Linked DNA regions of Oryctolagus cuniculus. The protein of the gene in region 2 purifies or fractionates together with the protein of the main gene of each other region. This does not show direct contact. Links are inferred from orthologs where the notes say so. Each region holds a gene or a part of one and is shown on either strand. Other genes may lie near its edges. The genes, in order: RBSN and VPS45.

The links.
Region 1: the proteins of VPS45 (region 2) and RBSN purify together in Homo sapiens (affinity purification with mass spectrometry; 4 studies listed by BioGRID and IntAct, counting the BioPlex papers as one, with this or other methods). This does not show direct contact. The link is inferred for Oryctolagus cuniculus from reciprocal best matches to the Homo sapiens genes VPS45 and RBSN.

Annotation. Positions count from the first base shown.
Region 1 is NC_091441.1:113,914,739-113,918,175, reverse strand, and holds the end of RBSN (rabenosyn-5), read left to right. Parts: coding exon 1-217; 3' UTR 218-2,691; downstream 2,692-3,437. UniProt on the Homo sapiens protein: Rab4/Rab5 effector protein acting in early endocytic membrane fusion and membrane trafficking of recycling endosomes. Required for endosome fusion either homotypically or with clathrin coated vesicles.
Region 2 is NC_091438.1:47,880,809-47,884,624, reverse strand, and holds part of VPS45 (vacuolar protein sorting-associated protein 45), read left to right. Parts: intron 1-45; coding exon 46-125; intron 126-2,133; coding exon 2,134-2,202; intron 2,203-2,318; coding exon 2,319-2,456; intron 2,457-3,816. UniProt on the Homo sapiens protein: May play a role in vesicle-mediated protein trafficking from the Golgi stack through the trans-Golgi network.

The DNA.
Region 1 (3,437 bases), on a different chromosome or scaffold from region 2:
GCCTGCCGGTCCCAACCCCTTCGAGGTGGACAGCGACAGCGGAGCCGAGGCCGAGGAGCCCATAGAGGAGGAGCTCCTGCTCCAGCAGATCGACAACATCAAGGCCTACATCTTCGATGCCAAGCAGTGCGGCCGCCTGGACGAGGTGGAGGTCCTGGCGGAGAACCTGCGCGAGCTGAAGCGCACCCTGGCCAGGCAGAAAGGCGGCCCCGACTGAGCAGCCGTGGGAGGGGCCTGGCAGCGGAAAGGCAGGTGGGATTGGTGGGATGGAGGCAGGGCAGGAGTCCAGATGCACAGTCTGCTGTCTTGTGCTGTGCACTTTGAGGCATTTCCACTACAGATGAATAATAAAATGGGATCCAGAACGGGAAGAATCAGCATTGATGTGCTGCTTTTTCCTGTTTTTTTTTTTTTTTTTTTAATTGGAGGTTTTCCCCTTTCAAAGGGACTTCATATTCTCACTACCCAGGTGAAACCGTTGGGCCCAGGGCATGTACCTCCTGGGTCCCTTTGCTGCTGCCAGGTTGGGTCATTCTGCAGTGTTAGAGAGCAGCTTTTCCTAGGCCCACCCTGAGCCGAGATGGGCAGGATGGAGTCCCTTAACTACTCTGCTCTGGCCCCGTGGAAGTCAGTCTCTTGCGGGCCATGGGTTCTGTTTCACCCAGGCCTGTGCAGCAGAGGGGAGAGGGGCTGCGGTGAGGGCAAGAGTCCAGATCCAGGAGAGCCCAGCACCTCTTTGCAGTGTCTTGCAGGATCTGTTTGCCTCTCTGTGTAAGTTCCTGTTTGTCTCTTTCAGAAAGTTAAGCTCCCAGTGCAGGGGCAGCAAGGTGGATTTGAGCATGATCTTTTCAGAAAATGGGCATGGCTAATGTTCTGGTTGATTTTAGTATTTGGGAAAAGAATTTCTATATATCATGGCTCTGATGGAAATTGTCCATCCCCAGAGAAACCTCTCTGCAGAGTTTTGGCAGAACTACTCTGCTGAGGGCCTCTTTGGAGCGGCCAGTGTGTAATGTAGGATTGGGGTCAGGAAGCCTCCCGGAGTCACAGGATAAACCACAGGCCAAAGCCGCTCCATCAGCCTTCTTCCTTCGGAATCATCCCGTCCTGACCTGGGCGCTGGTGAGATCTGTTCCTACCCACACGGACATCTGTGAAGAGGCCCAGCCCAGGATCCTGGCGCTGGCTCTGCAGTGCTTCACCTCTGCACCAGGCAAGGGGAGAAAGGGAATGGACCAACTGAGCCCTGGTGCTTCGGTTTCCAGGACCCTCATGAACCCTTCACTGACCTCTGACCTCTGACGTCATGACACCCGGGTGTGCTTGGCTCTGGGCAGGGTTTCTGCAGTTACAGTTGCTAATTAATGAACAACAGCTGACCACTCGTCACTTTATACCCTCAGCTAACTCTGGACCATCCTTAGGTTACTGATGTGAGAGTTAATTCATTTCATTCTGGAGAAGATCCTACTGAAGTGGGAGTGGGAATGGCTGAATTCTCTGGGAGTAAAAATCTGTGTCGGCGCTAGTGATATTTCTTTTGCATTTTCTGGGTCTTTTTCTTTGGAGATGTGGAAATAGGGAAGGGTGGGTGTGTGTGTGGAGGACCCATTGCCTCTGGGTTCTGTTCACAAACAAAAGGAAAATGAATAGTTATGCATGTAAGCCGCTGGCCAGCCCTTGTTGGTTGCTGCGGTGGCTTTGGGAAGCAGGGGAACAGGTAGCTAAGGCAGTGGTAGGGGTCTCCCCTCTCCCTTGAGGCCATGCCCTTCCTGCTGTTGCTCCCCGACTGGAGAGAAGGCGGCTCTGCGCCGGAAACGAGGCAGTTCCGGGAGCTGAATGCCGCTCTCCGTCATACTTTGCTGTGAGAACGCGGCTCAAGTAGCTGGTGATTTCAGCTGAGACTAATCCACTAAATGTAGCCTTTCCTGAAATCACCTGCAGGAATCATGTAAGTAATTAACAGCATCGGGGGAAACACAAGAAACCTTGGTAAAAGCTGTCTTGAAAACCCGACTTACTGACGGTAGTAAACCAAACTAAAATCCCTGTGCTCTCATTGTTTTTCCCCATGGCTGTGTTCGTATGTGAATGTGAACATGACAGGAGTTAAAATTCTCCACCCCTTGGCTGTGCCAATTCTCAGAATTCATGCAGGCACATGGTTGACAGCAGGGAAAAGCTGGCCTGTGTGTCGTAACCACAACGTCAGGTTTTACCTCATCTGACTGCACTCTTGCTTCATCTCATCGTCCATGAGCAGGTTCTTGATGTGGCGTTGGCAGACCCCCAGGCACTGACACGGTCATATATGGAAGAGACTTCGGGGACTCCGGCATCCAATGAAGTTCTTCATGCCTTTTCCCTTTCATACCTCGTCTGGATCCCCCCGCCCCGGGTCTAATACACTAAGGACACTTACTCACTGTACTCGCAGCTCAATGTATCTTTGCTGTTCAGTTCCTACAATGTACCGGAGTCATCCTGAGCCATGCGGTGTGTGGCCGTTGGCGTGCTTAGGTGATGGGACTCAGAATGAGAAGCGGGTCTGCAGCAGCTCAGACTGGAGCAGCAGGTTGTGCTGGTCACCTGACAGTGACTGTCAGTCTGAGGGTCGTTGATTTGCATGCACTACTCTGAGGCCTTGTATTGGAGCTTTTTTAAAAAAATAAAATAACACATGATACTGGTTGAGTGTGTGCGCACATGTGTTCCAAGTGACAGCATCAGAAGATAGGCCTGGTTCCTGAGTCTTGTCTGATTAAGGCCCCCAAAGTCAAGGTCCCTGGAGCAAACCAGGGATAAGTATGGGTTCCAGGTCTGTCCTTACCTCGTTACTCCAGCAGAGTGGGTCCAATGCGTGATAGAGCACAAGCATAGAGCACAAGCCCTTCATAATCCTCTTACCCCTGTCAGCCCGGAGGAAACAGGCTCGGTGACGTGGGGGACCCCGACTGCCATTTGTGCCAGGCTCAGCACTGCTGCAGGCGTGGGGGCTGGCACAGTGGCTGCCTGTGATGCCATCCCATGTGGGCACTAGTTTGAGTCTTGGCTGCTCCACTTCTGATTTAGTCCCTTGCTCATGGTCTGGGAAAAGCAGCAAAAAATGGCCCAAGTGTTTGGGTCCCTGCTACACACTGGGGAGACCAGCAGAGGCTCCTGGCTTTGGCCTGGCCCAGCTCAGGTTAAAGAAGTTATCCTGGCCTGGGTCACACAGTGGAGAATGCGTATTGAAACCCAGGTGTGTCTGATTTGCTTTGTTCTCAGTAGCTAGGAGAGTTTGTGCTTGGTGAGGTGTGGAACAGGGCAGTGCTGAAGCGTTGTGGGGCTCAAAGGGGCACACATGGGCAGTGGGAAAAAAGCCAGGAGCCAGGTGCTTCTCCTGGTCTCCCATGTGGGTGCAGGGCCCAAGCACCTGGGCCATCCTCCACTGCCTT
Region 2 (3,816 bases):
AACAGAGATGATCTCCTTTGAGATCATGACTCATATCTGTTTCAGATTTCAGTAATGTGATCAGCAAGAGTGATGTGAAGTCATTGGCTGAAGCTGATGAACAGGAGGTTGTGGCTGAGGTTCAGGTAAATATATTGGCCCTTTTAAAATATTTGAGTCTTAAACATCAAGATGGGATTGGCATTGTGGCTAGCGGCACAGGCATCACATATAGGGACTGGTTTGAGTTCCGGCTGCTCTACTTCCAATCCAGCTCCCACTAATGCACCTGGGGAAGCAGCAGAAGCTGGTCCAAGTGCTTGGGCCCCTGTACCCACATGGGAGATCCACAGGAAGCTCCTGGTTCCTGGCTTTGGCTTGGTCCAGCCCTGGCCATCACAGCCATCTGGAGAGTGAACCAGTAGATGGAAGATCTCTCTCTCTCTGTCTACTTCTCTCTCTGTAATTCTGCCTTCAAATAAATAAATAAATCTTTAAAAAAAAAATAAAAAGGTGGTGCTGGTCTCAAAAGAAGGAAGGCTATTGTTCAGACAAAATAAATTGCATTGTACAACATATATTTAGTAAGTTTGGAAGAGATCAAAGTGGATAAGAATAGAATTAAAGGAATGGGTGAGAATAAGGAGAGTGGGCTGATACAATGACCTATTTGGAATCAAATCCCTCATGAAATACATTGTACAGTAAAATTATTTTTTATCTGAGCATAACATTGTGTATCAGTAGGTCGGGTTTCACAGGTTTGAAGACAGAGTCAGATATTGCTGTAGCTTAGTTTTATAAGCTGTGGTCATCAACAGAAATACAAGTATGTCTGCTTGGGAGAGAATGGGGTTTCTAAAGTTCTGTTGTAACTATCCTGTTCTGAAGATAATAGGCAGACTTTTGTTGTTAGGTGAAAATTTGGAAACTAAACATTTATTCTGCATGCTGTATAATCACATTAGAACATAATATGTTAACTTTGCCTTCTTTTTTTTTTTTAAACAGGCAGAGTGGATAGTGAGAGAGAGAGAGAGAGAGACAGAGAGAAAGGTCTTCTTTTTTTGCCGTTGGTTCACCCTCCAATGGCCGCCACAGCTGGCGCGCTGTGGGCAGCGCACCGCACTGATCCGAAGGCAGGAACCAGGTGCTTCTCCTGGTATTCCGTGGGGTGCAGGGCCCAAGCACTTGGGCCATCCTCCACTGCACTCCCAGGCCACAGCAGAGAGCTGGCCTGGAAGAGGGGCAACCAGGAAAGAATCCGGCGCCCCAACCGGGACTAGAACCCGGTGTGCCGGCACCACTAGGTGGAGGATTAACCTATTGAGCCGCGGCGCTGACCTACTTTGCGTCCTTAAACACTTTAGTGTTCTTGGATATATTTATCACAAATATTTGAATAACTTCTGTCACCTTGGTGAAAACAGTGTCTTCTAAGGTGGCAAATAAACTAGTTTACAATTTTTCAGGATGATATACCAGGTAATAAATGAGTAAAAAGAATGACCTAGTTTAAATCACATTCTCCCTCATGAAATACATTCTACAGCAAAGTTAATTTTTACATAAAATTGTAAATCTTATTGCAGTGTTTAATTTTTACTAATTGATAAATATACATAGAATTCTTTGGAAATACCATGTGCCCACTTCTACAAGTTTGTTTGTTTGTTTGTTTGAAGACTTATTTGTTTATTTGAAAAGCAGTTACAGAGAAGGAAAGGAAGAGACAGAGAGAGAACAATCTTCCATCTGCTGGTTCTTTTCCCAAATGGCCACAATGGCCAGTGCTAGGCCAGAGTGAAGCCAGGAGCCTAGAATTCCATCTGGTCTTCCACTTAGGTGGCAGGGGCCCAAGCACTTGGGCCATCATCTGCTGCTTTCTCAGGTGCATTAGCAGGGAGCTGGATTGGAAGAGGAACAGCCAGGATTCTAACCGGCACTCAAGATGCCAGTGTGACAGGCATGGCTTAACCTGCTACACCACAGCACTGACCCTTGTTAATTATTAATTGAACAATTTTTGTATGTTTTTTATATTTGTATTTCATCATATTTGATTATATTGTACAGTATTGTATCATCTATGAATATATTACTGCTTGATAAAGTAGAGTTCATGAAATAACTTATCTTGTGCTTTATTTGCAGGAGTTTTATGGTGACTACATTGCTGTGAATCCACATTTGTTTTCCCTCAATATTTTGGGTTGCTGTCAGGTATGGAAAGAAAGAATTAATAGATAATTTATCAGTGGGGAGTGAATTCTGCAGGTAATTGGACTTAAAAGAGAAAATTCAAATATTTTCTCTAAATATTTATTTTCAACAAAAAGGGAAGAAATTGGGATCCAGTTCAGCTCTCCAGAACAACTCAAGGACTGACTGCTCTCCTTTTATCTCTGAAGAAGTGCCCCATGATTCGTTATCAGCTTTCATCAGAGGCTGCAAAGAGACTAGCAGAATGTGTTAAGGTATGGCCTTTCCTGTCCCTAGTTCTCTAAAATCAGTGCCATTCATTTCCCTGAAATACTTCAGAAACTAAAGGAATATTTTATCTGCAACCAAGGAGATAATAATGTGTTATTTTTATTGGGAAAGAGGTAGATATATATAAAAATAAAACGACTATACAGTAGAGATAAGATTCTTTATTTTCTATTTATTTATTTTAAAGGCAGAGTTACAGAAAGGCAATGGCAGAGAGAGAGAATGAGAGAGAGAGAGAGAGAGGTCTTCCATCCACTGGGTCACTCCCCAAATGACTGCAATGGCCAGAGCCCAGCCGATCTGAAGCCAGGAGCCAGGAGCTCCTTCCCAATGTTCTGCGTGGGTGCAGGGGCCCAAGAAGTTGAGCCATCTTCTGCTGCTTTCCCAGGCATATTAGCAGGTTGCTGGATCAGAAGCGGAGCAGCCAGACTCAAAATGGCACCCATATGGGATGCCAGCACTGAAGGCGGTAGCGCTATGCCACAGCGCCAGCCCCAAGATTCTTAGTTGTTGTTGTTGGTTTTTTTTTTTTTTTTTGAGATTTATTTATTTATTTGAAAGGCAGAGTTACAGAGATGCAGAGGCAGAGAGAGATAGAGAGAGAGAGAAGAGAGAGAGGTCTTCCGTCCGCTAGTTTACTTCCCAAATGGCCGCAACAGCTGGACCTGGGCCAATCCAAAGCCAGGAGCCTGGAGCTTCTTCCAGGTCTCCCATGCAGGTGCAGGGGCCCAAGGACTTGAGCCATCTTCTACTGCTTTCCCAGGCCATAGCAGAGAAGCAGAGAGCTGGATTGGAAGTGCAGCAGCCGGGATTCAAACCATTGCCCATATGGGATGCCAGCACTGCAAGTGGCAGCTTTACCCACTACACCCCAAGATTTCTTAGTTTTTTTGTTTGTTTGGTTGGTTGGTTGGTTTTTTTTTTTTTTTTTTACAGGTAGAGTGGACAGTGAGAGAGAGAGAGACAGAGAGAAAGGTCTTCCTTTGCCATTGGTTCACCCTCCAATGGCCGCCGCAGCCGGCACGCTGCGGCTGGCACACCGCGCTGATCCGAAGGCAGAAGCCAGGTGCTTCTCCTGGTCTCCCATGGGGTGCAGGGCCCAAGCACCTGGGGCATCCTCCACTGCACTCCCGGGCCACAGCAGAGAGCTGGCCTGGAAGAGGGGCAACCGGGACAGAATCCGGCACCCAGACCGGGACTAGAACCCGGTGTGCCAGCGCCACAAGGCAGAGGATTAGCCTATTGAGCCGCGGTGCTGGGCATTTTTTTTTTTTTACAAGGATTTCTTAGTTTTAACCCAAGACCCTTACAGTGTTTTTTGTTACAGTTAAACTGCCTGTAAAC